Linked DNA regions of Xenopus tropicalis. The protein of the gene in region 1 interacts with the protein of each later gene in a biochemical or structural test. Links are inferred from orthologs where the notes say so. Each region holds a gene or a part of one and is shown in the gene's direction. Other genes may lie near its edges.

Evidence for each region.
Region 2: the proteins of stk26 (region 1) and cab39 are reported together in a solved structure, tested with the Homo sapiens proteins (2 studies listed by IntAct, with this or other methods). The link is inferred for Xenopus tropicalis from reciprocal best matches to the Homo sapiens genes STK26 and CAB39.

The regions. Positions count from the first base shown.
Region 1 is NC_030684.2:67,439,007-67,455,626, forward strand, and holds part of stk26 (serine/threonine-protein kinase 26), read left to right. Parts: intron 1-7,798; coding exon 7,799-7,907; intron 7,908-7,986; coding exon 7,987-8,144; intron 8,145-8,570; coding exon 8,571-8,756; intron 8,757-9,030; coding exon 9,031-9,173; intron 9,174-11,745; coding exon 11,746-11,839; intron 11,840-15,394; coding exon 15,395-15,457; intron 15,458-15,538; coding exon 15,539-15,675; intron 15,676-16,449; coding exon 16,450-16,471; 3' UTR 16,472-16,620. UniProt on the Homo sapiens protein: Serine/threonine-protein kinase that acts as a mediator of cell growth. Modulates apoptosis. In association with STK24 negatively regulates Golgi reorientation in polarized cell migration upon RHO activation.
Region 2 is NC_030681.2:127,995,931-128,012,550, reverse strand, and holds the end of cab39 (calcium-binding protein 39), read left to right. Parts: intron 1-145; 5' UTR 146-216; intron 217-932; 5' UTR 933-961; coding exon 962-1,075; intron 1,076-3,765; coding exon 3,766-3,984; intron 3,985-5,563; coding exon 5,564-5,728; intron 5,729-6,284; coding exon 6,285-6,403; intron 6,404-6,601; coding exon 6,602-6,770; intron 6,771-7,878; coding exon 7,879-7,938; intron 7,939-8,356; coding exon 8,357-8,422; intron 8,423-9,031; coding exon 9,032-9,175; intron 9,176-9,872; coding exon 9,873-10,061; 3' UTR 10,062-12,260; downstream 12,261-16,620. UniProt on the Homo sapiens protein: Component of a complex that binds and activates STK11/LKB1. In the complex, required to stabilize the interaction between CAB39/MO25 (CAB39/MO25alpha or CAB39L/MO25beta) and STK11/LKB1.

The DNA.
Region 1 (16,620 bases):
ATTAAGGGTATATGATACCATTTCAGCAAATAGGGGTTAACCCTTTCTTGTGACAGTTCAGTAAAAGTTGTTGTTCTTGATGTTAGAGTAATCATGTCCCCTCACAAGCACTTTTTTTTCCAGCGAAAACAACCCCAACCTTGACAGTCTAATCTTATAGTTTAAATCTTCCATCCCCTTTACCAGTTTAGTTGCACGTCTCTGCACTCTCTCCAGCTCATTAATATCCTTCTTAAGGACTGGGGCCCAAAACTGCACTGCATACTCAAAGCCTTACCAGAAAAATGTTCATAAGCATTTCCTAAAAATAGAAACATGCAAAAGTATATAACTGGGCAATCAAATAGCAGGCTGAAATCAGATCTAAGGAGGAATTTCCAGCCAAAACTTGTGGCATACCCCTCTTTATGGTTCATCATACTTTGCATGTACTTTTGATAACTCCAGTTATGAAAGATGCAGCAGCGAATACAGTTTGGTGATATTACAAAGCAGCTTTTCAGCAGCTTCTGATTTCAATGTTTAAAAGCCATCAGCTTGCAGAACATAAGTGTCCTTGTTTCATTGAGGGGAAAAAAGCAGAGCAAAGTCAGCCTTACACTCTTGTTCCACAGGGGTGCTGCCAATTTCTGTAAAGGAAACTGAGTTGAGTTTGTTTACTGGGAGCTCATTTCCGTGGGCATTGCCCAACACACCTGTATTAAATAAAGACTCTTTCATGCTTTTCTGAGTTAAGGTTTTCCTTCCCCTGAAAATGTCATGGCTGTAATTTCCTGCCACACGCGCAGTTACTGGTTACATTAAGCAGTGCATGCATTGAATGTACTTTCTTTTTATGTGTGTACATCATTTATTAGGATCAGGGAAAGCCAACAGTAGTGGCACACATTCCCTTCTTTCCACCTCTTCTCACATTCACCCACAAGTTATAACTTTCAAAGTAATCTTTGGGCAGGTTTGATGTTATTTCTGGGTTTGTATTTTTATCTTGTTAGCAGGGCATTCATCTTGAGTTTTTTTTTTCTAATAAACGATTAAAGACATTAAACTATTTTGTGCACAAAACTAATATAGCCATTTAGCCCAATTTGGGCCACCTCAATATATATGCACAAATACATTGCTAAGACTTTAGGCTATCTGAAGACAATACAATATTAATTGGGAAATTTAGGTGCCAAATAATTTTTATGGTGTAGTTATGATACTCTTCACCTGTTAAAAGAAGAATACATAAAAATAAACTGCTTAACGTTACAAAATCTTTAAAACATTGACAATAATACAGAAAATATGCAGTGTGCCCTTACCCTTAAGGAAGTACGGTGTTTCATTATTGTATGGTAATACACCGATATAGGATCTGTTAACCAGATGTGTGCAACCTGGGGTGACCGGATAAGGAATCTTTCCAAAATTTAGATAACCATACTATAACTCTAAAAAAAAAAAAAAAAAAAATGTAAACATTAAATAACCCCAATAGGATTATTTTGCCACCATTATGGATCCATGCAGCTTAGTTACAGGTATGGGACCTGTTATCCAGAATGCTTGGGACCTGGGGTTTTCCAGATAAAGGGATCTTTCTGTAATTTGGATCTCCATAACTTAGGTCTGCTAAAAATCATTTAAATATTGAGTAAACCCAATAGCATTGTTTGCCTCCAATAAGGACTCATTATACCTTAGTTGGGATCAAGTACAAGGTACTGTTTTATTATTACAGAGAAAAAGGAAATCATTTAAAAAAATTAGAATTATTTGCTTATAATGGAGTCTATGGGGGATGGCCTTTCCGTAATTCAGAACTTTCTGGATAACTGGTTTCTGGATAAGGGATCCCATACCTGTACTATAAAAAAAAAATATAGATATAATTGTTTACTTATAATGAACTCTTCCTGTTATTCTGAGCTTTCTAGATAGTGGGTTTCTGGGTAAGGGATTCTATACATGTATTAGATATTTAGACTTTTTCCAAGGATGAATTTAAAAACTTTTTCCCAGGTATAGTTTTTACATAACTGCATTGCATTCTTTAATTGCACACGTATTCTTTAGGCCAAGGCATCTTTCAGGCTAAAGTCCGCAAATTCTAACATTTATTAACCTTGGATTTGATGACTGTGTGTTCTGTAATTATGTTGGGTTGAAAACCCAAACATACTGTTCTTCGACTTTGGCTTATTCTTCCGCTTCTTCTTCCGCTTCTTCTTATTCTTAGCTCCCCCCATTTTCTAAACGCTACTCCTCCTACAGTTTTAGGGGTACAACACCCAAACTCCCCACACATCTTCGCCCTATAGCGGAGCAGGTTGCTTGTGCTTTTCTAAGCGATCCCGCCCCCCGTCTTTTTGTGGCGCCACTCCGAACCCCCCAATTTTCCCATTGACTTTGACAGGGAAGATTTTCAAACTGCTGCCGCACTTACTGCTTTGAAGCTACACCCCCCAAACTTGAATAACATAATCATGGGGTCACCCCGAATGAAGCAGCAACATTTGTTGGATGACTCCAAAGTGGGAGGGGCCAACAACAGCCAATCAAATTTTAATCATTGACTTTAATGGGGAAATTGAAACTGCTGCCAATGTTACAGCTTTGAGGCTGCGCTCCCCAAATTGAATCACATAGTTATGGGCTCAGCCTGAATGAAAATAATATGATTATTGGATGCCCAAAAGTGGGCGGAGCTGTGAACCGCCAATCAGATTTTACCCATTGATTTGGCGGAAATTCAACCTGCTGCCATTCTCACAGTAATAACACCGGGGTCCCCAAACTTTTCACAGTTGGTCACTAGAGGACTGCAGTTTAAGTTTTTGAAAAGTGGGCTGAGCCACCAACAGCCAATCAAATGTCACCTATTGATTTTTATTGGTTTGATGCCAGATTTTCCAAACTTTGCACAGTCAGTCACTGGGTGACTACACATTCAGGGTTTTTTTTTTTTTGTTTGTTTTTTTTAAACCGCAAAGTGGGAGGGGCCAACAGCCAATCATATTGTACCCATTGACTTTAATGGGGAAATTGAAACTGCTGCCAAACTTACAGCTTTGAGGCTAAACTTGAATCACACCGTCATGGGCTCAGCCTGAATGAAACTTTGCAGAGTTAGGCACCAGGTAAGTGTGGTTCAAGGTAAGAAAAAGTGGGTGGAGCCACCAACAGCCAATCAGAGTTTACCTATTGACTTTCAATGGGGAAATTCAATCTGCTGCCATTCTCACAGAATTAACACCAGGGTCCCCAAACTTTTCACAGTTGGTCACTAGGGGACTGCAATTTTAGTTTTGGAAAGTGGGCGGAGCCACCAACAACCAATCAGATTTCACCTATTAATTTTTATTGGTTTGTTGCCAGGCTTCCCAAACTTTGCATAGTCAGACACTGGGTGACTACGCATTTAAGGTTTTTTGTATTTTTGTAAGTGGGTGGAGCCACCAACAGCCAATCAGATTTTACCTATTGACTCTAAATGGGGAAATTCAACCTGCTGCCAGTCTCACAGTGTTAACACCAGGGTCCCCAAACTTTTCACAGTTGGTCACTAGAGGACTACAGTTTTAGTTTTGAACAAGTGGGCGGGGCCATCAACAGCCAATCAGATTTCACCTATTGAATTTTATTGGTTTGATGCCAGAGTTCGCAAACTTTGCACAGTCAGTCACTTTGTACTCAAGGTTAGAAAAAGTGGGCGGGGCCACCAAAAGCCAATCACATTTCTTTCATTGTTTTCAGTGGGAAAATTTTAACTGCTGCCATTCTCACATGTTTAATGTCAGGGTCCCCAAACTTTGCACAGTTTGTCACTGGGTGACTATGTTCCAAGTTTAGAAAAGTGGGCGGGTCCAACAACAACCAATTAGATTTCACTTATAGACTTCATATGTTTAAATTTAAACTGCGGCCATTCTTTAAATATTAATACTAAGGTCTCCAACCTTTGCAGAGCTAGTCACCTGGTAACTGCAGTTCAGAGTTAGAAAAAGTGGGTGGAGCCAACAACAGCCAATCAGATTTTACCTATTGCTTTTCAATAGGAAATTCAACCTGCTGCCATTCTCACAGTATTAACACCAGGGTCACTAGGGAACTGCATTTTTAGGTTTTAAAAAGTGGGTGGAGCCACCAACAGCCAATCAGACTTCACCTATTGAATTTTTTTCGTTTATATTTAAAATGTTGCTTTGCTCACACTATTTATGTCAGGGTTCCCAAACAAGTGGGAGGAGCCACCAACAGCCAATCCATTTCCACCCATTAGATTTCATTGGTTTATATTTAAACTGATGCCATTATTTAAATATTAATTCCAGGGTTGTTAAAGTTTCCAGAGTTACTCACTGGGTATTTGCCATTCAAAGTTAGAAAAAAAGTGGGCAGAGCCACCAACAGCCAATAACATTTCACCTATTTACTTTCAATGGTGAAGTGTAAAATGCTGTCAGCCTCACAATTTTTATGCCTGAGTCCCCAAAATTTGCAAAGTTGGTCACTGGGGGACTGCAGTTCAAAAATAGGAAAAGTAGGTTGGGCCACTAACATCAGATTTCATCCATTGAATTTTTTTGGTTTAAATTTAAAATGCTGTCATTCTCAAACTATTTATGCCAGGGTGCTCACTGTTTGTCACTGGGTGACTTTGACGCAAGGTTATAAAAAGTGGGCGGAGCCACCAATCACAATTCACCTATTGACTTTTATTGGTTTAAATTTTAATTGCTGCCGTCGTTTAACTATTAATCCTTAGGGCCCCTAAACTTTGCAGAGTTAGTCACTAGTTAACTGCAGTTCCAGGTTAGAAAAAGGGGGTGGAGCTACCAACCGCCAATCAGATGTTGTTGACTTTCAGTACGGAAATTTAGGTTGCTGCCATTCAGACACTATTAAAACCAGGGTCCCCAAACTTTGCACAGTGGTTTTTACTGTATAACTGTGGTCCAAGGTTAGAGAAAGTGGGCGGAGCCCATTCAGTGACTTCATGTTTTTCAACCCAACATGAAGTTTGTTCTCAAACTTCCCTTTCTAGTTTGTAGGCTGTGTTTTTGCTTTACAGTGATAAGCTCCATTTAAATGGTTTTTACTTTCATTAAGAAGTATACTGAATATCCCCTTATGAGACAATCCACTTCTCACTTTCCCAAGTGACACTTGCATATACTTCTGTGGGAAATACAGTCCACATATTTCACTTGAGTCAGATTGCCTGCCCATGGAGCCAAATGGGTGTGTAAGTGCATCAATCCCTGGGGTCCATAACAGCAGTATTCTGCATTTTTACAGACGAAAAGAGCAAAAGACTTGGGGACTTAAAATCGTAGTTCACATTTAAGTTAACTTTTAGTGTCTTATTAAATTTCTTATTATTGGCAACTTTTGAATTGGTCTTCAATTTGTTTGTTTGGTTTTTTTTTTTTGGATTATTTTCCTCCTTTCTCTTGCAAGCTGTCTGATTGGGAGCATTGTCCCTGGCAGCCAAAAACCCATTGCCCTGTGAGGATTCAATTTATTGTTACTGTTTATTACTGATCTCTTTATTCATCTTCCAGTCTGTCATTTAAACCATTGCCTGGCTGCAGTAGTAAATTAAAGACTAGCTTCCATTTCTAAATGGTGCTGTTGTACAAAAAACTACTACTCGTTCCAGCAACAAACTTCAGCAGTAAATCCGCTGACTCTTCAAGTACAACAAAAATATATACTATTTTAAACCTTTAAAAACGTAAAAAAAAATGTGTACTAACTTGTACAATGCAATATACACTGTGTGTTTTTATGTATAGTTACATAGGGTTGGAAAAAGACCAGAGTCCATCAAGTACAACCCTTCCAAGTAAACCCAGCTCACACACACACACACACACACACACCTGTACTGACCTATTTATACACTCGTAAATAAACCATATATACAAACATCAATACTAACCGTAGATTTTAGTATCAAAATAGCCTTGGGTATTATACTTCTTCAAGAACTCATCCAGGCCCCTCTTTAAAGGCATTAACAGAATCTGCCATTACCACATCACTTGGACGGACATTCCCCCAACCTCACTGCCTTCACCATGAAAAACATCTACACTGCTTCAAATGAAAATCCCATTCCTCTAATCTAAAGGGGTGGCCTCTGGTGCGCTGATTGCTATTATGGCAAAAAAGAACACCCCCTATCTGCCAGTAATCATGTCCCTTTGCAAACAACCCCAACCTTAACAGTCTAACCTCATAGCTTAAATCTTTTATCCCCTTTACTAGTTTAGTTTCATGTCTCTGCATTCGCTCCAGCTCATTAATATCCTGGAGCCCAAAACTGCACTACATGCTCAAGGTAAGGTCTTACCAGATAGATGCCTATAAATAAGGCAAAATTATGTTTTCATCCTTTGAATCAATGCCCTTTTTTATGCAAGTATTTTATTTGCTTTAGTAGCCACAGAATGACACTACCTGGAATTAGACAACGTATTATCTACAAAAATTCCCAGATCCTTCTCAATTAAGGATACCCCCAACACACTACCATTTAGTGTATAACTAGCGTTTATATTATTTCTACCAAAGTGCATAAGATGCTGCCAAAATTCTTATTCACACTCTTATTATATCTCACCTGGACTACTGTAACGCTCTGCTAATTGGCCTTCACCTTCAGAGACTGTCCCCTCTCCAGTCCATAATGAATACTGCTGCCAGGCTCATACACCTATCCAAACATTTCTCCTCTGCCATACCACTGCCAATCCCTGCACTGGCTTCCCCTACCATCAAGGATAAAATTCAAACTAATGACTAGGACATTCAAAGCAGTTCATAACTCTGCCCCACCCTACATCTCTGAACTTATCTCTAGATAACAACCAACCTGTTTGTTACTCTCCTCTACTGACCTACTTCTCAACTCCTCCCTCACACTTGCATTTAAGACTTTGCAAGGGCTGCCCCCCTTCTCTGGAATTCGCTCCCACAAACTATCAGACTTACTCCCGATCTCTAAAAACGCATTTATTTAGTGAAGCTTACCCTCATTTAGTTTAACATAACCTCAGTGTGCTGCTACAAGCAACCTGTGCCACACCTCTCCCATTGCTTGATTCTGATCTTGCCCATTCCCACACCTTGTGTTTCAAACCTCTCTCCTTGTAGATTGTAAGCTCTTTTGGGCAGGGCCCTCTTCACCTCTTGTATCCGTTATTGGTTGCTTTATATTTTACTTTGTATGTCAAATGTATGAAACCTACTTATTGTACAGCGCTGCAGAATATGTTGGCGCTTAATAAGTCAATGTTGATATTAATAACTTTGCACACAATATGAACAGCATATGGAACAGGAGTTTGAAATCAGTAAATCACATTTATAAAGGCAGCTGTGCTGGCAAGACACATTGGCAAACCTTATGTACAGTTGCCAGTAAGCCCAATCAGCACTTTGATCCATACAGGCAGAATAATCGTCTCCTTACATTTCAGGTGTGTTGTGTGAATGTGATGGGGAAGCTACAGTGCAAGCTCCACTGAAGCTGAGACTAATTGAAATGATGACCTCTTCAACACTATTTTTATAAATTGAAATAGCCTCATATCATAAGCCAAAACTGGAAAAAAAAAAAAATCAATATAGCAGGGGTGCTGTTCTGGAACTTGTATCCTGGCCCAAGGTTGTAATATGCAGAACATATACACCTTATAATGATTAGCTGCAATTATTTTAATATCAGGGTAAGTTTAACAAACAAACAATATGCATCTTAAGTGTTTTTTATTTCTGCATTGTAATTTTCAACCTTTAGCTTCGTGTTGGTCCTTTTGATGAGTTCCAGATTGCTACCATGCTTAAAGAAATATTAAAAGGCCTTGACTATCTGCACTCTGAGAATAAAATTCACAGGGACATCAAAGGTATGGGAATGTTTGATTTTCCAGTCTGTTGGTTCCCGGTTGTTCCAGTCTGTTCTAAGTAGTGTATTCTATCTTCCAGCTGCCAATGTACTCCTGTCTGAGCAGGGGGATGTCAAGCTCGCAGACTTTGGTGTCGCAGGGCAGCTTACAGACACACAAATAAAAAGAAACACCTTTGTAGGGACACCATTTTGGATGGCTCCAGAGGTCATACAGCAGTCTGCTTATGATTCCAAGGTAAGCTTACTATAAACTTAGGACCAGCTAAAACATTTTCCAAAAATGACGTATTATGGTGTTGATGTTGCACATGATGTGGATTTCAAATTATTGGATTTTCAAGGCAGAATCCACGCCTAACATGTTTATTATTGGCTTTTTTGTGTGAAAACAGCCTAAATACTCACCACATGGGGCCTTTAGTAATGTGATTGTTTGGCCATGATGTTTTAGGCTACAAAATCTAGTGATTCATGCAATAGTCAGATCTTATAACCAAATCTGTTCTTATAACCAGATTAACAGAATATTAATGATTTTATTTCTTGGTACGACAGAAGCCTCAACGAATAACAGCGTGTGTGGGTGCTAACAAACAATAGCATTTTTTCATTGCAGTTAATTTTTCATTGAAGTTAATTTTGTTTCCCATTTATTTTTCAGGCTGATATTTGGTCTCTAGGTATTACAGCAATAGAACTAGCCAAAGGCGAGCCGCCAAATTCTGATATGCACCCCATGAGGGTTTTGTTCCTGATTCCTAAAAATAATCCACCATCCTTAACAGGGGACTTCAGTAAACCATTCAAAGAGTTTGTAGATGCCTGCTTGAACAAGGATCCCAGCTTTGTAAGTATTGTGGCAACGTAAGGGGGTGTGTGAGGCTGATTTGCACATAAAGGCTGCTCCGAGACTTTTTGGATGTTGAATATATAGTGAAACTAACCAGACAACATTTTAACAGAAAAAAAAAAAAAAACCAGTAGTAGGTGTGAATGTTTTTCCCCAGTACTAACCTCACCTGCACTGTAACATCAGTAGTAATCAAATAAAGCAAATATTTTTAGCCCTGGGCATATTAAAAATGAAGTAAAATGACTGTCAATTTTTATTTTGAATCCAGCGTCCCACTGCTAGAGAACTCCTGAAACACAAATATATTGTGAAGAATGCCAAGAGGACATCTTACCTGACTGAGCTTATTGACCGGTTCAAAAGATGGAAAGCAGAAGGGCACAGTGATTCAGGCTCTGATGACTCGGATACGTAAGTGCCTTAATAGAAACTGCTTTATTAAATGGACCTTGTACACCTATGTGCAATATGATCTGTATACTACTAAAATGTATTATGTATTCTCCCTTATTAAAAGGCTATATTTTCTTTTATGTAAGGCATTGTTTTGTTTCTACCCTTAGTACCTACCCCTTAAATCACTGGTTAGGGCCACAGTATATTTCAGCTTACTCTGTTAGCTGCACACAGATGATTGTTTGCCTGAATATATCCTGCAGACGAACAAAAAACATAAGAGTAACTTTATTACTATATTTATATATAGTATTCATAGGACTTGTATCGCCCCACAGAAGCTTAAGGCTATAGGCAAAAAACCCTATTTCCGCTTGTCTGAAATGCCAGTCCCCTGATACTGGGTTCTTCCACCTAATATGGGAGTGCCCCACCATAAACAACTATTGGTCCAAAGTAGTAAAATATATGACTTAGCAAATCCTGTTGCTTTGGATTCTAGCCCGTAAGGTGTGTCTGCTCGGACTTGTCGATGATCTAGCCCCTCTATCATCATAGAAAGCAGTGAATTCTGCATCAGAGTGTTCAGCACAGTAACCTTCAGCTTCTGTGACAAATGTAACCCCATTTTCTGCTAATAGATTTACAACATCTCCCCATGCTTAACTTCTCAGCAGCAGCCCAGAGCAAACTGAGCAAGTGCAGCATAAGATGACCTATAGAAACTCAATCTTTAAAAGGCTTTTTAGGATTTAATTATTCTTTAATAATTCTTGCTGAACTACTACATTTTTGATATACCGTTATTCAAAAAAACAGAACATTAACATTTGATTACCGTTTATACTCCTGTATAAGCCGATCCGAATATAACCCGAGGTACCTAATTTTACCTAAAAAAAACTGGAAAAACTTATTGACTCGAGTATAAGCCTAGGGTGGGAAATGCAGCCGCTACTGCTAAGTTTCAATAATCAAATAAATAATAAAAGAACACTCAGCGTGACCCCCTGTAAACTCTTCATAACTATATCATGTTGGCAGCTGCAGATTAGGGGAAAGGTGATTAGGGAAAGGTGGATGGAGGACCCTTTGAAGGTTTTCATTCATTCATTCAGGCCATAATATATCTATTAGTGGTCATTTTAGTCAACTGGATTAGATGTGTACTTTGTAAAGGCAATTGCTTACAATGAGAGAAGGTGTCAGTATGTGCCAGAGGCTCGTACATTAGGTGCCTTTGAGACTTATTTATAAGTTATGAATAGAGACTTATTCAGCCTGCAGGGACTAGTTTCCTGCCCCATACCTACCGGTAACCCCGCTAGCACCCCATGTCACGAGTCATGTGACCCATTAGTGCCCGGTACTGGCAGGGCTTTCCCAGGTGCATGACACACTGCCCCGACCTTCAACCCCCCTGTGCCAACTTTGTTCTAAGGCAGTGAATGCAGCACAACCCGGACTGGCAGCGTCCCGGCCTTTTCCCAATTCCATTTCACACTGACTCCCCGTTACCTGCGCACAACCCGTCACGGCTCTTCCCTCCCCCATTCTGTCACAGCCACAGGGCGCAAGTTTACAGCAGGAACCCTGTAATGCTCAGCAGCTGCCACCAGAGGGCACCCGTTCCACAGCAAAGCAAAGGGAAATTTTTTTTTCACAAAATACTTTATTGAAAACACAAGAGGCGCAAAGTGACAAAATGCATATGAGAGAGGAGCTAGTTTCCCTGTGCAGTGATTGTTGGGGAATAGGGGGAGGGGGGGTGCGCAACGAATATGAATGCCAGCAATTTACATCTTCAAATCCATATACTCGAGTATAAGCCGAGGGATACTTTTTCAGCACATTTTTGGTGCTGAAAAACTTGGCTTATACTCGAGTATATATGGTAAGTAAAATTATTTTTTGGGAGAGACAAAAATTCTCGCGTTGCTTAAGCTTGAAGGTTTAGTACATGGCTTCAAATAAGCTAAACGGCGCCCACTTGTGTCCTTTTTTAAAAATCAGCTTTGTTTAACAGTGATATAACACTGCTTCGGTTCCTGATACTTTATTCAAGAATTTCTTCAGATAAAAAATCACTTTGTTGGCTTAGCACATACAAAGAATTGCAATAATACTTTTTACCATTTCTGGCTATTTTCAGTTATTTTTTCCATTGGGCAATAGAACAGTGCCAGTGTATGGTTTATGCAGTAGATAATGCATTTATACTTAAAATAAACCAGCTTTCTTTCAGACATGGCAGACCCCTTATCTCGCATGTGTCAAAAACATGGCCCGTGGGCCGAATACTGCCCTTCTGGCTGTTTTTTGTGGCCCCTGGTGACTGTGCAGCACCAATCGACTGTACAGTATTTTAATAAAAAATTTGGCCGGCTACTTAGCTTGTGTTTTAGATTTCGGCCCCCTTGTGTGATTTGAGTTTGACACCCCTGCTTACTGATTCCAACTAAAGAGCTCTGCAACAATTTCTATTTTTTCCACCAGTAAAAGTTGTGTTTGGGTTTAATACGTGTGTTTATGTTGCTCAGAGCATAGCCTGTGGTAACGCATCCTTTTTTTTAATTCTTAAATGCAGAGAATCAAACAACAAAGAAAACCATACCCACCCAGAATGGAGTTTTACTACTGTTCGGAAGAAGCCAGAGTCAAAGACTATGCAGAATGGAACGGTATGTGCTGGGACTATACATACATTTATACCTCAAGAATGCATGGCCATACTGTAAACCACACAGTTCATAGCCAACCGAAAATGTTTTGATTGATAATTTGACTTAAACATTTTCTTGCACATGGTTTACAAGAGGTTTCTCTATTATACCAGTTAGGCCAAAAGGTGATACCACTGAGTGCTCTCTAAACTGGAGAACATGTGCAGATTTAAATCAAGCAGTTGGGACATCCACACATTTGTTACAGGGACAGGGTAACAATGCCATATAGCACAGATGAAAATCACATACAATATAAATATAACCAATAAATAATTGGTTACAAATTAGGGGACAGGTATATGTCACACATCTGTTCAACGTAGTCTAAGTGGCAAGTTATTGTAAATGGATTTAGTCTTTATTTGGTTTTATTAATAGTACAGCAGGCTCCATTTGAGCTGGTCTATTGCAAAGTTACATTAATGGCTACGATATCCTTGCTATGGGTCGTTACCTATTTATCTGTACAAGGTATTATAACCAAACTTAATCTGCGTAAGGACAAAGTGGTGACTTATTTTTGTCCATATTGTAAACCGGATGAAAGAGTTGCATCAAGATGAAGGCTATGCAGAGTAAAACCCATATGGTTGCCCATTCTACCAGGACCCTTTGTGCTTCTTGGTCTTAAAAGTACAACGAAACCGCAGACAGACACGTAAAGCTACCATTCATTATACTTTTTACAGTCATAGTGTTATGCTCCTCAGCACCTATTTACAAAGCTAGTACATTAGTTAAATGCAAAAGTTAGGTCATCCCTTGCCAAATATTTGCAAAGATTAATGCACAGTTATTTGACGCAAACTTTCAAATATATAGCAGCAAAGAATATAGTAATGGTGGGATGTACAAAAGTTTGGACACTCTTCCACTTGTCCAGTGGTAAGTCCCTGACCCTAGTTATATCATTAGGCCTTACTAGCCATTAGCAGTATTCACCTGTTGACAACTGCAAACTTAAATAAAATCTATTACACCTCAAAACTTTGGGCTGTCATTCAGCGGCTATGGGCTCTTCTTAGCAACTGAGGATCAGAAAATGAAGCACATTGATGCCTTCGAAGGAAGAGAAATTTAAAAAAAGGAACATTGCAAAATGCTTGTAGCTCACAACTTCCACTGTCTGTAATGTAATGAAGTAATGGCAGTTGAGGAGATCTATGGAAGTCAAAGAAAGATCAGGAAGACCAAGGAAACTGCTTTTAATTGGAAATATTTGGCAAGGGATGACCTAACTTTTGCATTCAACTAATGTACTAGCTTTGTAAAAAGGTGCTGAGGAGCAAAACACTGTGCCTGTAAAAAGTATAATGAAGAGGTAGCTTTACGTGTCTGTCTGCGGTTTGGTTGTACTTTTAAGACCAAGAAGCACAAAGGGTCCTGGTTGAATGGGCAACCAAATTGTGTGCCATATTAGCTTATATTTGTAAATACACAATGAACATTTGCAGGTGTGGTGTTTTTTTGTAATACTTTAAATTAACCAAATATGTTATCTGGCAAGGATGCCTAAACTTTATGCTTTCAGCTGTAAGTGCTGTTCTTACTCCATTGTCAAGCTTTTCATTTGCTATTGGGATGGCTTTAGAGGTCTCTGCTAGTCCCAATGGAGTAACTATAGAGGAAGCGGACCCTGTGGTCACAGAGGGCCCAGACCAAAGGGTCTCCATCTATACCTGTAAGAAAGACCCTCTCCCCAGCCGCACTCTCACCTACTTGGCAGAACAGTGGGGGAGCAGGGGAAACGGCCGGGAGTGTGGGTGGAGTGGGAGCTGGTTAGGTGCTGACTGGGCCCCTTCAAAGTTTTGTTGTTTTTCCTGGCGTGCCATTGTTACACCACTGGCTAGTCCTTTGGTTTACCCAGTCCATTGTGTATTTACAAATATAATATATAGTTAATATGGCGCATTTACGTTTAGACTGAAAGTGTGCAATGTTGTAAATTTTGCTCAATAAACTTTGGGAATTCTAAGGACCAACATGAAATATAAAATGAAAGGAAGAAGGAGATGATCCTGCTTAGTTTTTAATAAAAACAACATGATTTTATGTTCAACACAAAAAAAGCTCACCTACTTGCCAAGTTGATCTTTCCCTGGAACTATATTTAATAAAATGATACATAAAATCTTTGCATGTTTAGCAGACATTTGTTATAAAAGGCTTTTAGCTGACAGGGAGTAAAAGCTTGTGGATCAAAAGGGCCTGCTTCACGTATCCTCATTGGTTAAATATGAGGCGGTGTTATTTCTGCCCATTGGAGCAGTATTACCATATGAGAGCTCTTCCTTTCTCATGTGTTGTCCAGGACTTAAGCTACTTTAAAGATGGCACTTTGTCACCTTTTGTTTAGGCTAGTGTTTTCCTACTAGTATACAGAAGTCTAATTTTTCTATACAGAAAATACCTGATGGTTTATTTGAAATAAAATTGTTCTATATTAGGATCTGTGAAAGCCTTCTACAGGCCAGGGATCATAAAACTCAACAGGAGGTAAACATCTGGCCTGCAGGCAACTATTTTGACAGTTATTTTATGCACTAAATAGCTAGTTCTGTGGCCATCCTGTCTCCTACAAATCCCACTGAAAAGGGGCACACATGTTTTATCTTAGAGACTGTAAGATTTCAGTTCAGTTTAGTTTTTCATTTTAGTTTTTCACAGCTTTAAAATGCACGAGACTTTAAAGGAGTTGTTCAACTTTGAATTAACTTTTAGTATGTAGAGAATGATATTCTGAGACAATTTGCAATTGGTCTTCATTTTTAATTTGTAGTTTTTCTGTTATTTCACTTTTTGATCAGCAGCTCTGCAGTTTGAAGTTTCAGCAACTTTCTGGTTGCTAGGGTCCAAATTACCTTAATAACCAGGGAGCAGTATGAATGAGAGCATGGTATATGAATAGGAGGAATAAATAGTCATAAAATGGAACAATAACAACTGTAGAGTCACAGAGCAATCATTTTTTGGCTGCTGGGGTCAGTGACCCACATTAGAAAGCTGCAAAGTGTTAGAAGACGAAGGTAAATGGAGCTAAAACTATAAGAAATAAATGAAGACCAATTGAATAGTTGCCTAGAATAGGCCATTCTATAACATACTAAAAGTTAACTTAATTGTGAACCACCCCTTTAAGGGCTGGATGTGATTTTGCTAAGCATCCACAAAATGGGCTAGGATCTGGCCGAATGTCTGCATTCCTACCAATTATTACTATGACTTAATGCAACATTTACATCTCATTTGGCTCAGATTACTTTCACTCCTATTAATACCCATTCCCTTTACTGGAAAGTATTTTCCTCTTCTGTTTTGCTTTAGCTTTGAAATATCTTGGTATGGTTTTTTTTTTTTTTTTTTAAATGCTAAAAATAAGTGATCATTAGGTGAGAATTGTTATTGAGCAAATGATCGATTTGTTTTGCCATTTATTGCTGTAACTTTGCATTTGTGGGATCTGAGCAGAGTGTAGTAAATGTGGGTGCTCATTTATTTCTTTTCCTTTAGGATCAAGATCTTGTGAAAACCTTGAGCTCTCTATCTGCAATAATATCCCCGGTGTTTGCAGAGGTAAATGACCTTTTATTCATTAAGGACAATAAATCTGGTGGCTGTATCATTGTTGTGAATGTCTGCCATCATATATTTCAGCTTAAACAGCAAGACCGGAACAACACAGTGAGGAAAAATGCAATTGAAGAACTTGAAAAAAGTATCAATGTAGCTGAGGCCACTTATCCTGGGATTACTGACAAGATGGTGAAGAAACTTATGGAAAAATTCCAGAAGTGAGTGCTGCATATAGTTTCAGAATAATAAATTTGCATGATAAATACTAAAATCCTTTTGAATAGGCTTCTAGTAATGTAGCCCAACCTGACAGTTTACTTTCAGTTCAGTTATTGAGTTTGCTGGCCTCTCCCTGGAACCGCTATACTATTCATATACTAGCGACAATACAGGTTTCTCCTTCCTTTGACAAACAATGTTTCTTTTACTATCCTCTCAGGAAAAAGTATAGTGGTAGTAAAATTACTGTGGTCTTTCCCATTTTGGGTATATTCAACTCCCTTCATTCTTCCTGATACTCTCATGTTTGCAGAGAGCTCACACAGTACTATAACCAGTAAAGAAAGGTTTTGGGGAACTTGATCTCACTTTTTACCCATAAAATATAAGTATTCAAGAAGTGTCACTGCCTTTAAGCTTTTACAGTGGGCTATGAATTGTTGGTGAATTCTGACAGGCTTGTTATACTGCTTCTATTTGTACTCTCAAGTGCTCCACTCACTCATCTTCTCATTTGGACTAAGGAGAGCTGGAGTCTGACACAATAAGGTAAAACATGGCTGCAGGATAAGAAAAGAAGCAGACTAGTCATGAGCTTTATTTTATTGTTTACTGACAAATCACTATATAATATAGGTATATGATGTTCTATGATTTGCCTGTCATAGATTGTAAAACTTATGGTGCAGGCTGTCAAGGACATGAGTGTCAGTGCTCTAAAGCTTACTATTCTGGCGCAATCCCTTTGTTAAACTAAGTATTTTATTTACTAGGTTTTCAGTCAACGACTCCTAATTATGTTCTGGTGACCATGACAGTGCTCTAACAGAAGAGCTGAGGGACATCCACCAAATCTACTCCAAGCCTAGCCGTGCTTCGCTATTTCAGCTCCTTGTGCCTTTTGGACCTCTGCTAAACACAACATTGACCATAATTAAGCGTTT
Region 2 (16,620 bases), on another chromosome or scaffold:
GCTATATTAGTGTATTTACAGATTTGTGAAATCATAGGTATAATCATTGCATACTGATGTAGTCCTAAGAATAGTGCCCATATGAAAAAAAAGGTAGTGCAGAGTAATTGAAAGTATTAACCATTCTTTTCTTTTATGCCTGCAGATAATAAACTCTGTTTGAGCCTTTCCAGCACTGGTTGCTAGCCTGAGACTGGGAACCATTCCACCATTAAGGTAAATATATGGGCTTAGTTGTCCATTCACTAAACAGGGCAAACAGTGAAACTGAAAGTACAGTACTTTCAATTTGAAATGAAGGGGGGCTTTTTTTAATGCAGAGCTCATTATCTCTTTTTTGACTATTTTTAGCTAAAAGAAAAGGCATAATGGATTTTTTAACAGTCTAACTAAACAGGAAAAATGCAAGAAGGAAATAATTTCCATTAGATGAATACAAATTGAAAAAAAAAAAAAAAAAAAAAAAATATATATATATATAAGTCAAGCTGTGTGTCCACACAGGACCAGCACACCATTTCACAGCAATTCTTCTATTTATTCATTGGAACGCACAGTGAATTTTATAGATTATAATATATATTATTATATAATATAGCAATATATTATATAATATAGCAATGGCTGCTCCCTTCCTGTCTTTATACACTGTTTCAGGTAAAAAAGGGAATATCCTCCATAACTGGACTTAGTTTAGTTCCATATGTATGGTGCCGTATATTTCCAGTTTCCTTCAATCAGTTGCTAAAGGTGGAATGCATAAGTACAAACCATGTGTTTAATTCAACCTTCTATTTATTACTTATTTATTACCAAGTCAACCACAAATTACACAACATTATTTCCTTTTAGCAATAAGGCAATAGAAGTTTCCCATTGTGCTTTCAGACTGAAATTATATGAAGTTCTTCTGTATATTCTCTCCTGTGCAGAAGTGTAGAGCAGTGTTACCTCACGAACCATGCCGTTTCCCTTTGGGAAGTCCCACAAGTCTCCTGCAGACATAGTGAAGAACCTGAAGGAAAGTATAGCTGTGCTAGAGAAGCAGGACATCTCTGATAAGAAGGCAGAGAAGGTACAGTACTGTTGCTTATGCTCCTTATATAACATGTAGATGTGACTGGTTCCTTATAAACGCTCTCTCCTTATTACATTGTATTCTTCATCCCTCCACTGATACGCCTGTGAATTACCTTTTGATGAATTACAATTCAGTGTCCTTCCCCAAATGCACTTTATTATTATATAATATATGTATAGCCACTGTGCCTCCCTGCTGCCCAATACGTTGTCACTGCCACTTCTGGTTTGGTACCCACCTTTACATAATTTCTCTATTCTCATTTTCTTTACTTCACTTCTTATCCCTCATCTCTCTCTTCCTAGTCCTCCCATTACTTGTTCTGTTAAGACTGTCATAAAGGCACCACCCAGACAGTTTTGCTGGGGAGCTTTGGGGCTCTAAAGGACTTTTGAAATGAACAGTTGGCAGCTATGCATTCTGCTTTTGTTACAGAGGAGAGAACACTGCCATGTGGGCTAACATATTTAGTTGATGGTGGACTTTTCTGTTTAGTTCTTTTTGCCAATTCCATACTTTTTGTATACCAAATACTTCTAAAAAGATTGGCCTAAATACCTAACTGAATCTAATTCCTAATTTTTAAATCTGAGCAAAATTTAAAAAAAATGCATTATCTCATAAGGAATTGTAGCCATCAGTTGTGTAAAGTTTTATTAAAATGAAATGACTTTAAGGACTGTGGTGCATGGGATGTTTTTTCTCCCACAGAAAAGAAAATGCACCTCTTTATCTGTCATTGCTCCTAATAGCTGCACTGGTGAATGGAAAGTGCCTCTTTCCACTGTCTCCGTTTGTATCAATTTTTCTAGCATTTCGGGTAAACTCATCTACCCGTATACACATCTGGGAGGAAGCCATGTATTGCAAGAGGACATAGGCTTTGGAGATTTGCCAAGTACACTGAGTAGCAACAGCTCTTTACCATGTCTCTTCTGGTTTCTGGTATCAGTTTATCATTAGCACTCGCCAGCAGATGAAGCAGTGTCACAACAATCGCCACTGCATGACATCATGGCTGCAGTGGTCCTTGGCCTCATCCCTAGAGCTTGCACTAATTTTTATTGTCTGCCACTTAAGCCACTGCCTTGGTTGCTAGAGTAAGTGGGATTCTATTAACAATATAAATTCTTAAGGGTGAAGACACACTGAGCTACTAGTAGCAGCTACTTTTTCATGGCTTCTAAACTCCAGAAAATACCCTGCCATAGACAATACTAAGAATTGCATATGCTAAAACACACATAGAGACAATTATCAGTAAATGATCAGCATTTTCTATTTTAGTAGCCACGATAAGTAGCTTCTACTAGTAGCTCCATGTGTCTTCACCCTAAGGGCTGTGGCACACGGGGAGAGTAGTCACCTCGAGAGGAAACTTCTGCGATTTCAGGGGAAATCGCGGCGCTGCGTATGCCATCCCACTCGCCGGTGGTATGGCATTTCGGGGAGATTAGTCGCCCGCGACAAGGGAGATTTGGCGACTAATGTCCCCGTGTGCCAGAGCCCTAAATGTAGAACTGCAGAGGCGTTAAATAATATAAAACCTGAGAGATAAAAAAAAAAGTTGCACATCACACAAATGACACCGTTTGAGTAATATGGAGTGTGAGTTATAAATAAATCATATAAATGTAGCTAAACACCTGATGACGACCCCATACATAAAGTTCACTCTCAGTCTGCTGACCACATCCCGTGATTCACACCCACTAATCACGCGTATATAGGCATTTCAGATTGCGGCAGGCTCATCTCTCTGTCATGCAACTCTTTGTTATGTGTGGGTCTGTGTGTGTGTGTGACAAACCCCTTCCCTTCTATGTCACATGGCTGATGAACCCAGAACTGATTAACCTGCTGTTTTGTACCCTGAAACACAATTACATTTACATCAGGCCAACAGATGAAGCTGTCTGCACTTTCCTTTACTGACTTGCCTCCCTTTAACTAACATGTCATATCATTACTTTTCGATAGCACTACCTAGGAGTGTATTTTTTCAGCGTTCCTGCAGCACTAGGTGTAGAAAATGAAAATTTTGATATGACATGTTACATTTATTTAAAGCTCTATTTGTGAATTTACCTTTAGTTCCCAGGCGTTACATTTCCCAGAATGTTTTAATAATGGGTTATGTTAGAAGCTTCTGGGAATTGTTGTTCTGAAACATGTTGTGACCCATTATCCAAGGGCAGCTATTCGCCTGCATTTTTTCTATACAATTGTTCTTACTACAGGGGAATACCGGTGCTGGCAGAAATTATACAACCTTGCTACCTATTTGTACAAGCTTTGCACCTAAGGAACTGCTATGGAGAGTGGTGTTTATAGCACTGTTTGGCTGGCTATGGCCTTGACAGTGCCATGCCCCTGCAGTGCTAGGTCATGCTCACTCCTTCGGGATAAGGAGTGACGGTGGTTATTGAGATGAGGTTAAAATTGCACCCTGAGCCAGTCTGCATTGAATAAATCCATAATGAACATAATAAATGGAATTATAGTGGTACTTTAAGAAAAATTGCTGATTCAGTAAGGTGTGTGAGAGAGAGGTTCTGATATAAGGTTACCGGATGTAACAGCAAGCCTCCCATCTCCTCAATGACTAATCCCTTTTGTATTCTGGTTGGGAAGAGCCTGCTTGCCTTTATAAATTGCCTTTTCTGTGCTGTCTCATTTTGCAGCTGAGAGGAGGGTTGTTACCCCACACATACAGCTCCCCTGCCCTCCAAACCAATTCCCTTAGACGCCCTACTCCAGGCTCAAATGTCTCACTTGCTGCATACTCTGTCGACGACTTACACATCAGCAGCAGAAGCAAAGATGCAAAGAAACTGGCATGGCCCAAAAGGAGATCATTTGTTTCTGGGAAGCTGAAGATGGACAGAACAGCATTTTGTTCGGTTAATACATGTCCCCTTTCACTGGGCTGTCCTTGTAGAGCCTCTTGGTGGAGGAAACCCTCACTGATGGAGTTACTAACCCTCCCCAGAGGACAATCAACTAATGACACATTAGTATGGAAAGCAGAAACTCCTGCCCTGTTAGGATGGTGGGGTGGCACTGTGTGTGGATCTACCTGTCCTATTTATAATGAACTGAAATGGCTAAAGACACATGGGATTGATTCACAGCAGCAATCTGAATCAATTGGTGAAGCAAAGTGATAGAATTTAATAGTACAGAAGAGCTGTGCAGGAATAATTGCTCTGTAACAGAGCTGTTCTGCTTTTTGCCACTCTGTGTTCAGGCCCCTTGGAGATGCAGCACTAAATGCATGTGATAATTCTCCAACCTATGATTGTACTGGCAGGGTCAGGGCAATTACATTGAAAGTCTATTGAGGAGCAATTGCAAGCAGTTAGGCGCCAGCCTGTCAAATTTTAATCCCATGGGCAGCAGTAAGCTTGCCATTGTGCCATTGCCCAAAATATGATTATATAGTTGATTAAAATTGAACATTCACTTTGCTGTTGAACTGTTTACCTTTTCAAAATTGAGGTTTAAGAATTCAAAAGAGCTAGGTTTTTATGTATTTAAATGTATTTAAATATATATAAATATAAATTACTACATTGATAAGAACTGTGTGTCTGCTTCTGAAGTTTTGATATGGTTTATATAAATAAGCCTCTGTGTAGCCATGGGAGCTGCCATTCAGGATCCAATAAGGCGCTTGGACCCTCATTTTCATACAGATACTCTTTGACCACTACAGTGGCTTTAGAACTTAAATGAGGATCACAATTTAGCTTCCCAGGCCAATTTAACGTGCTGATATTAACAATATATTGATACAAAAACTGCACCGTTATCTGTGCCTTTAGCCACTGATGATCACATAATCATTCTGTGAGGTCTCCACCACTTCTTCCCTTCTGTTGTGCCATGGCTCTGTGTCTTTCTGATTTATATGAGAGTAGCTGTTTAAAAAGACCCCATACTACAGACTGAAAGCCTATCCAGGGCTCATAGTTATCCTGTAGATATAAGCTGGGAAAATGTTGAAGAAGATCTTTACTGTTCAAGCAGTTTGTCCTAACATGGTATTTATGGTATTTGCATTACTCTTGTGCTAAAAAGTTAATGTGTAGCCAGGAGCAGCACATTGTTTAAAAACAAAGCAGCCCAGTGATTAGCTGCAAGTATCTTTAGGGTTTAAGTATGGGCCATAGAAAGGGCTTTTTTTAAACAAACACAAAGGCAAACTTTACTTTGTTTCTGTAACTCATTGCCAATCAGCAGTTAACTAACTGCTTTAATACAGTTACCATATTAATAAAATACATGAACACACAAACAAAATATATAAACCCACAAATGATTGTTAGGTCTATATTGTTAGATTGTTAGGTCTATATTCCTAGCTATAAACCATGTTGCTTAGTTTCTGATACACCTTGTAAATTGGTGCCACAGTACTGACCTGGTCTGTTACGCCTATACAACTTCAAAGTCATTTATTTCTCACCTTTTCCACAGGCAACTGAAGAGGTGTCTAAAAACTTGGTAGCCATGAAGGAAATCCTTTATGGGACAAATGAGAAAGAACCTCAAACAGAGGCAGTGGCACAGTTGGCTCAGGAACTGTACAACAGCGGACTTCTTGGAACTTTAGTTGCTGATCTGCAGCTCATTGACTTTGAGGTAAGCAGCAGCAGCAGTATTTTACATATATACTGTACATACATTCCCTAGCAGTGAATTCTATTTGTCACATCCCATAGAGCCACAGGGCCTCATTTACAGGTCCCACGGGTGCATGTACTGGAGCCCTAAGATGTTCAAAATCTCACCTCTAGGACCTGTCCAACACTTGCAGCCTGCACCTTGCACTGCAAGACACAAAACACATTGCTGTGGGCACAACACAGCTCTGAATTTAAGGCCTGCTATAAGCAGGCCCCTGCTATGTGTTTCTTGCCAACCCATGGCTTGCCTTCTCAATGATGTGCAAGTTTGCAGACTTCTATGGGGATGGCTATGTATCAACTCCTTATGAATAGAGCAGTGCTGTGTTCTTTGGAGTGACACAGGAGTTTGCTCTTCAGAGAGGAGCCTATGGGCAATAACAGTATGGCATGGTGCATAGTTAAAAGCAGCACAGCCGTTTGTGCCTGTTTTTTACACTTTTGCATTCTGCCCCATACTTAGTAAATGAGGCTTTCATGCTACAGAATAAATTACCAACTTTTCATTTCAGGGCAAGAAAGACGTGGCACAAATCTTTAACAATATCTTACGGAGGCAAATTGGAACAAGAACCCCTACAGTGGAATATATATGCACCCAGCAGAACATACTCTTCATGCTCTTAAAAGGGTATGTCCTGTGCCTTTTTTTCAGCTGGCAGTCAGTGAGTTTACTATAAATGTGCTTGGCGTTAGCAGGCGGCAGGGTGGTGGGTGTTAAGGAAATTATTAATTATTATTATTTAGTCTTATTCTTTCCATCATGCCTTTGACCTATTTATCAATATATTGAAAGGTAATGTGTAACACTCTTCTATTATGTTCCCAGGTATGAGTCACCAGAGATTGCATTAAATTGTGGAATTATGTTGCGGGAATGCATTCGACATGAACCACTTGCCAAGATTATCCTTTGGTCAGAGCCATTTTATGACTTCTTCCGATATGTTGAAATGTCCACTTTTGACATAGCTTCTGACGCTTTTGCCACCTTTAAGGTAAATACTTTACTGTGCAGGTTTGCAACCAGCCACTGCACGACTGCCTTTAGCTGCTTTAGCTGAGGCCAGCTATATTTCTAAAAGGAGAAGGAAAGGTCAAATCACTGGGGGATGCCAAAATATTAGGCGAGTGTTCCTCTTCGGTCTTCTTCACGCTGGCTGCATATGCACAGTAGAGTGAAAAGCTGAACTTTAACAAAAAAAAGTCTGCTTTTTGACTCTAATATCAGCACCAGCCTGGGGTATCAGGTAGGTTATTACTATCAATGGGGGTGCCTTACATTTGGCACCCCCAGTGATTTTAACTTTCCTTCTCCTTTTAGTCTTGTTGTGGCAGTCATCTCGGTCTCTGTAAAGTTAAATATGTGACAAAGGCATCAGGGGAAAAGAGAAAAATAGGCTGAGCTGAATAGTGGAAAGAGTCCAACACTGAGCCCTATCTGTTTTCCACTTCATCCTTGATGCCTTTGCCACATACTTGACTTTATTTGTTCACCCTTGATGTGTTTTTGATTGTGGTATAATTCTCTTGCAGCATTGCTTAATACACACACAATTACCAACCAGCCCTTATCATTTTTTTTTTAAAAACTATTTGTCCATTTGTTTCACTGCTGACAGGCATCCTAATAGATACATTTCCCTACCAAGGCATCTTATCGGTGTTAATCTGTTCTGTAACTAGGATTTGCTATTCTTTTTGCTAATTTAGCATTGCTTTGAATTCCCTCCTGTTATACTTCTCCCTCTTCTTTCCATTATATAGTGTCGGTGCTTATGCTTAGCCCAGAAGGTCAGCACTTCTCAGGCCTTTGCATGGTACCTCTCTGTGCCTGGCGACAAGCTACTTGCCTTTATCTTTGATCTATGTAGCTCTTCAAATGAACCTTCCAAATCCTTTGCTAGTCTATGAAGGTTAATTATTAACATATCCTAATGCTTTAACCCTACAATCCACACAAAACGACAAAGTGTTGTACATTGCACCCTCTGTTTTGGTTAAAGTGAGCAGCTGTCTCTTTTCTATTTTAATTTAACTTCTAAATTCCAAGTACATGTGTTTAATTGTGATATATAACCGTAAGCTTGTTTTTTTTCCCCCCAGGATTTACTTACAAGACACAAGCTCCTGAGTGCCGAGTTCCTTGAGCAGCATTATGACCGGGTAGGTTGTGAAGCACCCTCATACTACCAATAATGTAATAACAGGTTCAAAGTTGGTTCCAGGCCTTGTAACCCGTAGCAACAAATCAGAATTTTACTTTCAAACAGGTAGTAAATGCTACTTTCTTATTTGTTGCTAAAACTGGAAAACTTTTTTAAAAGGTTTAATAAACTGGCTTAATATGCTGAGTACCATAGAAAGCTGTCAGCATTTATTTATTTTCTTCCTGTTATTGGGTGTGTATTAGTAGATCTATCACAATTAGAACAGATCATTCTAAATAGATTAAGGCAAAGTGATTCACTAGTTGATAAAATAAATTCAAAAATTGTTATGGTTTAAATAGAAGCAAATACTACCTCAGGTACAAGTTACCTGCTCTTTGGGCTGACTCTGACCTTTAAAATCTCATCCTTAGTTTTTCAGTGAATATGAAAAGTTACTACACTCAGAAAACTACGTGACAAAACGGCAGTCGTTGAAGGTATGTATGTGTGTAAGGCAGGTATGTATGAAAGGTATGTATGTGTGTAAGGCAGGCATGTATGTATGTGTGTAAGGCAGGTATGTATGTATGTATGATTAAGTGCTGGGTAAGCATGAAACGCATAAGGCATTGCATGTAAGGGGTTGTTGCTGTTTTTTAATGGCCTAAAATAAATGTGAAATATGTTTTTATCAATTATGAGTGGTATATGAGCCTATATAATTGTGCCTAGTTGCTTTACCCTCTATTGGTCACCAGGGGGAGTTTTCTCTATACCACTTTTCATTACGTAAGCCCATACTTTTTAGTTCTGGGGATCCTCGGTTTCGTCTGTGTTATATGCAGCACTCTGACAAGCCATTTAATGTCTAATAGATAATAGGGTGAATAAATTGGCTTTGACTTTGTATCTTGCTACCGTGTTTTTGATTCCTATAATGCGCTTTTGCTGCAATCCAATGGCTTTGTACCTTCAGCAACTCTAAAATTAACTCCTTTACCCAACCTTTACCCAACCTATTATTTAATTGTGTTTATTCCTGACATTTTTATCCCTCTCTGTTAATTTTGGACTAGTTGCTCACTTTATTCCTGCTCTGATTGCAGCTGCTCGGGGAGCTTCTTTTGGACCGGCACAACTTCACCATTATGACAAAGTACATCAGCAAACCAGAAAACCTCAAGTTAATGATGAATCTTCTGCGTGATAAGAGCCGCAACATTCAGTTTGAGGCTTTCCATGTGTTTAAGGTACTTTCATTTTTTCCCTTTTTCTGAAATAAACTGTACCCTCTCCCGCACTCACCTTACGCACCTTTCTATCATGGCAGCCACTCCTCCTCTTGGTTTTCTGCGCCCCCATACTCTTTTCAGATACTTCCAATGCTCATTTTCCCTCTTTAGCTTTCTGTAAGCTTTTCTCTCCCATTGCTACTTTTCTCACATTCTACATATCTTTTCAAAAGTTTTTTTGCCTTAAAATGTTACCCTTTGAACTCTGACATTCTCGTCTAGTAATTCCTAATAACATAATGTGGATCTTCATAAAATGTTGAATTTGGAGCTTTCTGGATAACGAATCCCATACCTGTATTACCCAGCAGATATTTTGAATGCATAATAGGTTTGAAAGGACATTATTATCTCTCTTATTTTGCATAGTTATCCTTATCCCTGCCGCTAGTAACAGTTTTATACAGGTCTAGGTGTAGCCGGACCCACCTTTCTATAGCTTTAGCTCTACAATACAGGCTATAGCGACCATAAAATATGTCAGCATAGATATATTCTTTAACACAGTTTATCAGGAAAATATATCTGCGCTTTATTGAAGTACAAGGTTTGACTCAAACAATATGCATATGTGTATTACAGGCAAAGTAAGGAATTTTGTCAGATATTTTCAGTATTACTGAGAGGTCATTTTTTTCCCCCCCAACTTGTACAGGTGTTTGTAGCCAACCCTAATAAGACCCAGCCAGTTTTGGATATCCTTTTAAAGAACCAGAGCAAGCTCATTGAATTTCTGAGCAAGTTCCAGAATGACCGTACTGAAGACGAGCAGTTTAACGATGAGAAAACCTACCTAGTGAAACAGATCCGTGACCTGAAGAGACCTGCACAGCAAGAGGCCTGAGATGGACGGAACGAGGGAGGGGTGGGAAGGGAACACAAACCCAGTGCTGGCTATGAAAGTAATCAGCATCCCGTGGACTTTGCAACGCAGTATCTTCACTTTAACCCCTGAACGGTTTCATCTTTATTCTGCTTCTTCCAATTTGGTTTTGAAATAGTAGTCCAGGAGTAACCTCTTCCTTGCTGGAAGAAACCAGGCGGTGCACGTGCTTCCAGCCGCAGAGAGGTTAAAGGATGAATGCATAACTCCCTTTTAGTTCTTTCTATTATCCCATTGCGCATTTATAGCACAAGATGGAATGAGTTGCCATCTTCTCTTCTTCGTTGCATCAGCACGCGATAAGCATTGGCTCCTTCTTGGAGAAGTGGGTGGGGAAGTGAAACAAACTAAGCAAAGGAGATCTGCTGGTCTCTGGCAAGTATATAACTACTAGTCTGGGTTTATACATCTAGCGTTTTTTTTTTTTTTTTCGTATTTTTTTTTTTTTTTTTTTTTTTTTAATAATACAAGGCGTCGCATGCAGAATAACAGCAAAATACAAAAATCTGGTGTCCATCAGCATATTTGCACATAAACTTGTTAGAGAAACCGAGCACAACGTGCGATCTGTGCATAGCTGGTACCTTATGCCTTGATCTCAAACAGAGACAACTAGTAAGTGCAAGAGTGCAGAGCTTTTAATCCATTCTAAAGCTGAGTAGAGCCCACTGCCAGCCAATAGTGGGAAGTTTGTGTGTTTTAACTCAGTACGTGCTGGAAAATACTCTCAACACATTGCAAAATGTGTGTTGCTGACTGCTTTGGCACCCGAGAAGTTAAAATTGTGAATTGGGGGTAATATTTCAACAGGGTTTGTGTACAAACGAGTGTATATTCATTATATATGCCTTTCAACTGCTTTCTTGCTTTCTTTGATGTTTTAGCAGGTATGTAAGACAGAATTACAGAAAAGCAGCATATTATGTCCTTAGGGGGGAAATGTTCTTGTTTCCTGCAAGAGCCAATTTATTTTAGCAAGTGCTGAGTATTTTCCCACCCTTTTGGCTAATAACCCTGCCATGTTTTGTTTTTTTTTTTGTTTTTTTAAATCAGTAACCTCAACTCAATAACGTGAAACCACTTATTACATGCTATGTGACACCTAAGTGGTTGCTGTGGGCTCTTCTAGCCTTGTGTCCTTCATTGGTTTGCTGTAGTTGCATAAAACTAATATATTCTCTTACACAGTTGCCCATTATCAGTCAGAGCCAATGAGATGGGGCACTGGTGCGAAAAACTGCTAAAGACCAATTGAAACGTACTCGGTTAGGGGGCACCCAGAAACAAGTTATTTCAGTGGCATCTCCACTCTCAGGTTCTTGAACATAAAATGCTGTTTTATATCTAAAACACCTTGCAAAAGAAGGTGATCTCATTGGTTTGGGTAGGAAGTGGTAAGATGGAGGCAAATGTCTATTTATTGCTTCACCCTGGGCCTACAGCTTGGTTTGGGACACACAAGATCATCTGAGTAGATAACCCTCAGGCATGATACATGTGTATGCAGTGTGTAACATGAGCAGTTATTCCTGCATGTGTGATTGTGTGGCCTTTGCAGAATATATGTAATGCAGGGGGTCATGTTGGTTCATTGGGGCGTGTATGAGCTTCCTGGGATGTTTGGGTATAAGAATGGCAGCATGCTGTAATGCAGTGAGTGTGTTGTAGAGTAGGCTACATGGCAGGGTAGTTCAGTAAAATTACATACTCCTCATTTAATATACATATATATGTTTTTATTACAATTGTATTCACAGTGTCATTGCTCTTGGAAAAAGACAGAGGCCACAATCTTTACTTTTTGATTTATGTTTTAAAATTCACAGCTGAGGAGTGAGAATCAGGATCCCATACAGGTCACCATTGTTTTGTTTCCCCCCATACACACACAACTTATTTATTGCACGAGGGGTTTTCTGCCTGGGTGCATGTGGCTTGGACAGTGCATGTGGTTTGGTTCCCCATCAAATAACTTTCCTCTCTCGGGCTCGGTTATTTGATGGACTTGTACCCCCCAGAAGATGCTGAAACCAAAGCCTTGGGTGAAGGGATAAATGCTGTGCTTCTAGCAAGATTGCGTCAGTTTCCTTTGGAATTTCTGTGTACATAACGTTTTTGGCCTCTTATTCGTAAAGAAAAAAAAATAAACTGTACAGCAAACAAGCATTGTCATGTTTTTATTCACGTGATTTGCTGCACCAGTAATGGTGTGTGCTGTGAGATATGTGTCTGTATAAAGCAGGGATCCCCAACCTTTTTTTACTTGTAAGCCACATGCAAATGTAAAAAGTGTTGGGGAGCCACACAAGCATGAACCAGGTGTTTGGGGGTGCCAGATTGGCTATTTGGTAGCCCCATGGGGACTGCTGGCCTGCAGGAGGCTTGGAGTAAAACTGTGTCTCTCGGCTTCCAAAACTTTAAATTTTTTTTTTTTTTTTTTAACTTTGTTTTTATTTTGATTCATCATACATATCATTTACAATGTTTGCTGTCATTTTTATCTTGTATTCGTAAACAGTAAGTGTTAGTAAATCATATCTGATTTAACATTTTTTGTAGGTTAGAACTTTAACTTTAACTTTCGGCTCATACCTTGTTTTTCCCAGGCCTTGCAAAAACTTTAAATTTAATAATGGGCACCTACTTCCACATCGCAACAAATCTCCCTTGTGGCGCAACTAATCTCCCCGCAATGCCATCCCGTCGGCTAGAATGTAAATCACCATTGGGATGGCCTATGCAGTGCCGCGATTTACCGAAGTTGCCTTGAGAGGAAACTTTGGCGACTACAGCAAATTACGGTGCTGTGTAGGCCATCCCACCGGCGATTTACATTCTAGCTGGTGGGATGGCATTTCGGGAAGACTAGTCGCCCGCAACAACGGAGATTTGTTGTGGCGCGACTAATCTCCCCGTGTGTCACAGCCCTAAAACTGGTGTGTTTGCTTTAGAAACAATACTATAGTTTATATAAACAAAGCTGATCTGTAGCTGTGGGGGATGCCATTCAAAGAAGAAAGGACTCAGGTTACTTAGCAGATAAGCTCTGTAGAATATAATTGTATTATACAGAGCTTATCTGTTATCTGCTCTTTAACCTCTTCTATCAGTTTTCCATGCAGTGCAGCAGTAACCTATGTTTTAGTTATTTTAGAACACTTTCATTACTTTGCATTACTGTTAATTAAGCTTTTAAAGTATAAGTAAGGCCTAATACACAGGGAAGGGGAAATTTTTTAGGCCCCTCCCAATGTAGTAATTGCCTAACTTTTTTCCCCAGTCTGGTGCTAGTCTTATCTGGAGTTCGCACAAAACTCTTGCGCCATAGTGGACTTGCACATGTGGAGTATAATAAAGGTAGAAACATTATCTGCACTGCGATCCTTGGGGAAAGACCAGCAGACAGGTGTGGTGCTTATATAGAAAGAACCCCAGGGTGGTGTATTTTTTTTTTTTTTGCCAAGGTTCTAACTGACACACAGGGAAGGCACCATACAGATTAGTATCAAGGGAATACACACGCAATAACTCATTTATACACACATAGGCAACAGAAGATGTTTTTGTTTGGGGGCAGCCATGAATAGGAGCCAAAAATGGTAAACCACACCTACTTTAAGGACATACATCCAGCTGTCCAAACAACACTAAAGGCAGAATAATAGATTATAGAGTGGTTGATATGTTTGGGTTATTAGGCCTGGGGCATATTCTGCATGTTGCTACATTCCCAACACTGCAGTAAAGTATATCTGATAGATGATGGAAGCTGTAGGTGACATATGTAACATCCCTATCATTGATTGATATTAATTGTTATCCTCAAAAGGACCTCGGAGGTTTGGTGGTTTGTAAAAGTTTGACTCGTATACGTTTCTCCCACAAGGCAACAATATCTTGTTTATATTATCGAAGCATTACTGCTAGACAGACAACTGGCGTACAGTCAACTCCAGCACATTATAATGTGAAATGAAAGGACAATTCCATTACCATCCAACCATAAAACATATATATACAGTATACATACAGTGAATACATATAAAATGGAAGGTAGATTCAAGTAAGTTATACAGTGATAAGCGATTGGTACTGGCACCCCAAATACATCACAAACTCTGGCTACTAGAACCCAAAGCACTTTATATACAAAGCTAGGCTATGGGTAGTAGCAACACCCAATGGCACCCAAGTACCTTATATACAGAGAGAAGCTGTGGGTACTGGCAGTTGGTGCTCTTCTATGTGACCTAAAACACTGTGTATCTGAAATCATTATTACTGAGTAAATGTGAGTTTACAATGATGGGACTCATGCATCAATGTGCCAGGGGGGAAGGGGTTCTGCACGTGGTTAAGTGGCAAATGTGGGCCCACTGGGGTTCTGTGATGCAGTTGGGGGGCATAAGTTGTCTCTTAACTAGCTGCACCTGTGGCTAACACTCCATGCTACTGTAGGGCCAGTGATTGTTGTTGTCAGTATAGTCATAAGTCTCTAGTGGGGATATTTGTGATTTACAGATTAAAAAGTTTAATTCCCAGGTATCAGCTACTTTTACGTTTATTTTTGACTTTTATGGATATATATTTTTCAGCCAGCAGAAGAGAGATTTTTATTTATGTAGCAATAAAAATTTATTTTTAATACTTTTAGACTGTAGTAAGCTCTCTTTATATATATATATATATATATATATATTTACTACTTGGGAGTCTGTCAAGGAATGCTGGGATTTGCAATTTAAGAGATAGAGCCCGAAACTAATTGCTATTATATTTTATTCTGACAAAGATTTATAAAGTGCCAACATATGCCACAGAGCTGTATATCTAATGATATATAATAATCAATGGCATTAGACACATGGGGGCCCATTTACAAAAATCCAATTTTTGGGGGGCATAAAACACGATAATTTCTGATGTTCTAAAATCTCAAAAAAATGCTTTATCGGTCGTACGAAAAATATCGTAATTGCCTTCTCTAAGTCCCGATATTTTTGTACCAAAAAGTTCATTAAACAACGAAAACCTACCTGGCTTTGAAGCCTTCAATGCCTGGTTTTGGAAGCCTTCCATAGGACTCAATGGCCCTCGACAGATCCAACCTGGCAATAGTCCTGATGAAAGTTTAACAAGAAATGTTTGTATGGGTTATATGGGTTAATGCTCAGGTGCAAATTTGCCCACTCTTTATAAATGATACTGTAGGCAAAATTCAGCTTGCAAGTGACTGTAGCACCCACAGGGTTGCCTTTTTCCACCATGACACCATGGACTACCTCAGCTATGACCCCAATCAGTGTTCCCTTTTATTCCTTCTCGACTATGTGTGCAAAATAATTCTTTTATGCTCAAATTTAAAACTTATGTGCCCATTTTTAAAAACTGTGTGCTCAGGTCAGAATACCGGCAAAATTTGGGGTTTCGTTTGTGGTCACCACAATTTATTGTGTACAGCAGTAATCCCCAACCAGTGGCTCAGGGGCAACATGTTGCTCCCCAACCCCTTGGATGTTGCTCTCAGTGCCCCCAAACCAGGGAGTTATTTGTGAATTCCTGAGTTGTTGGTAAGTTTTGGTTGAATAAAAACAAGATTTCCTACCAAATAAAGCCTCCTGTAAGCTGATAGTGTGCATAGAGGCTGCCTAATAGCCAATCTTAGCCCTTATTGGGCTCCTCCATGAACTTTTATGGTGCTTGTGTTGCTCCCCAAGTCTTTTTACATTTGACTGTGGCTCACGAGTAAGAAAGGTTGGGGACCCCTGATATACACACACAGCTTACAGGGAACATTGCCCCCAGCTTATCCTCAGACAACACAGTCCATTCAACATTTAAATCAATCTCCAGGCCCAGGAAACTGAGGCAAGTTACTGGACTTTTATTGGAGGTCAAAAGGTTGTCAAATTCTAAAGTTCTAAAAATAGGCATATGAAACTGAGAAGATTCAGATCTTTATCTGCACTTAAACTTGTAATTACGTTGAATTTCTCAGTGCCAACACCAGTTCAATCCCCTCTTGGAGGTCCAACCATTGGTCAGACTCATAACACTTGTACAGATATGGCAAAAAAAGTGTCCATTTATAAAATACTTTTGTGATGATTTAGTAGACGTTTCATTTCTTAAGATGTTTCACACAAATTAAGTCATTTTATGACCTTTCTTGCAACCAAATAACTTTGTAAAACCACGCTTAACTGCTTTGTTTCTCACGCTATAAATCAAAGGGTTTAATATAGGTGTCCCAAATAAAAAGATGACATGGAGTATTCTGTCTCTATCTAAAGAATAAGTTGATTTTGGCCTTAAATATAAGAATCCAAGAAATGCATATTCAACAGCAACAACACTAATGTGCGAGGAACATGTGGAAAAAGCCTTAAGGTGCCCCTTGCTTGTGTTTATTTTTAGTATAGCGGCTATTATATACATATAGGATGTAAGGACTAGAAGGAAATTGATAGAAACCACAGCAAGACCAATGCCAAATGTCAAAATTTCAACAATCGCATGC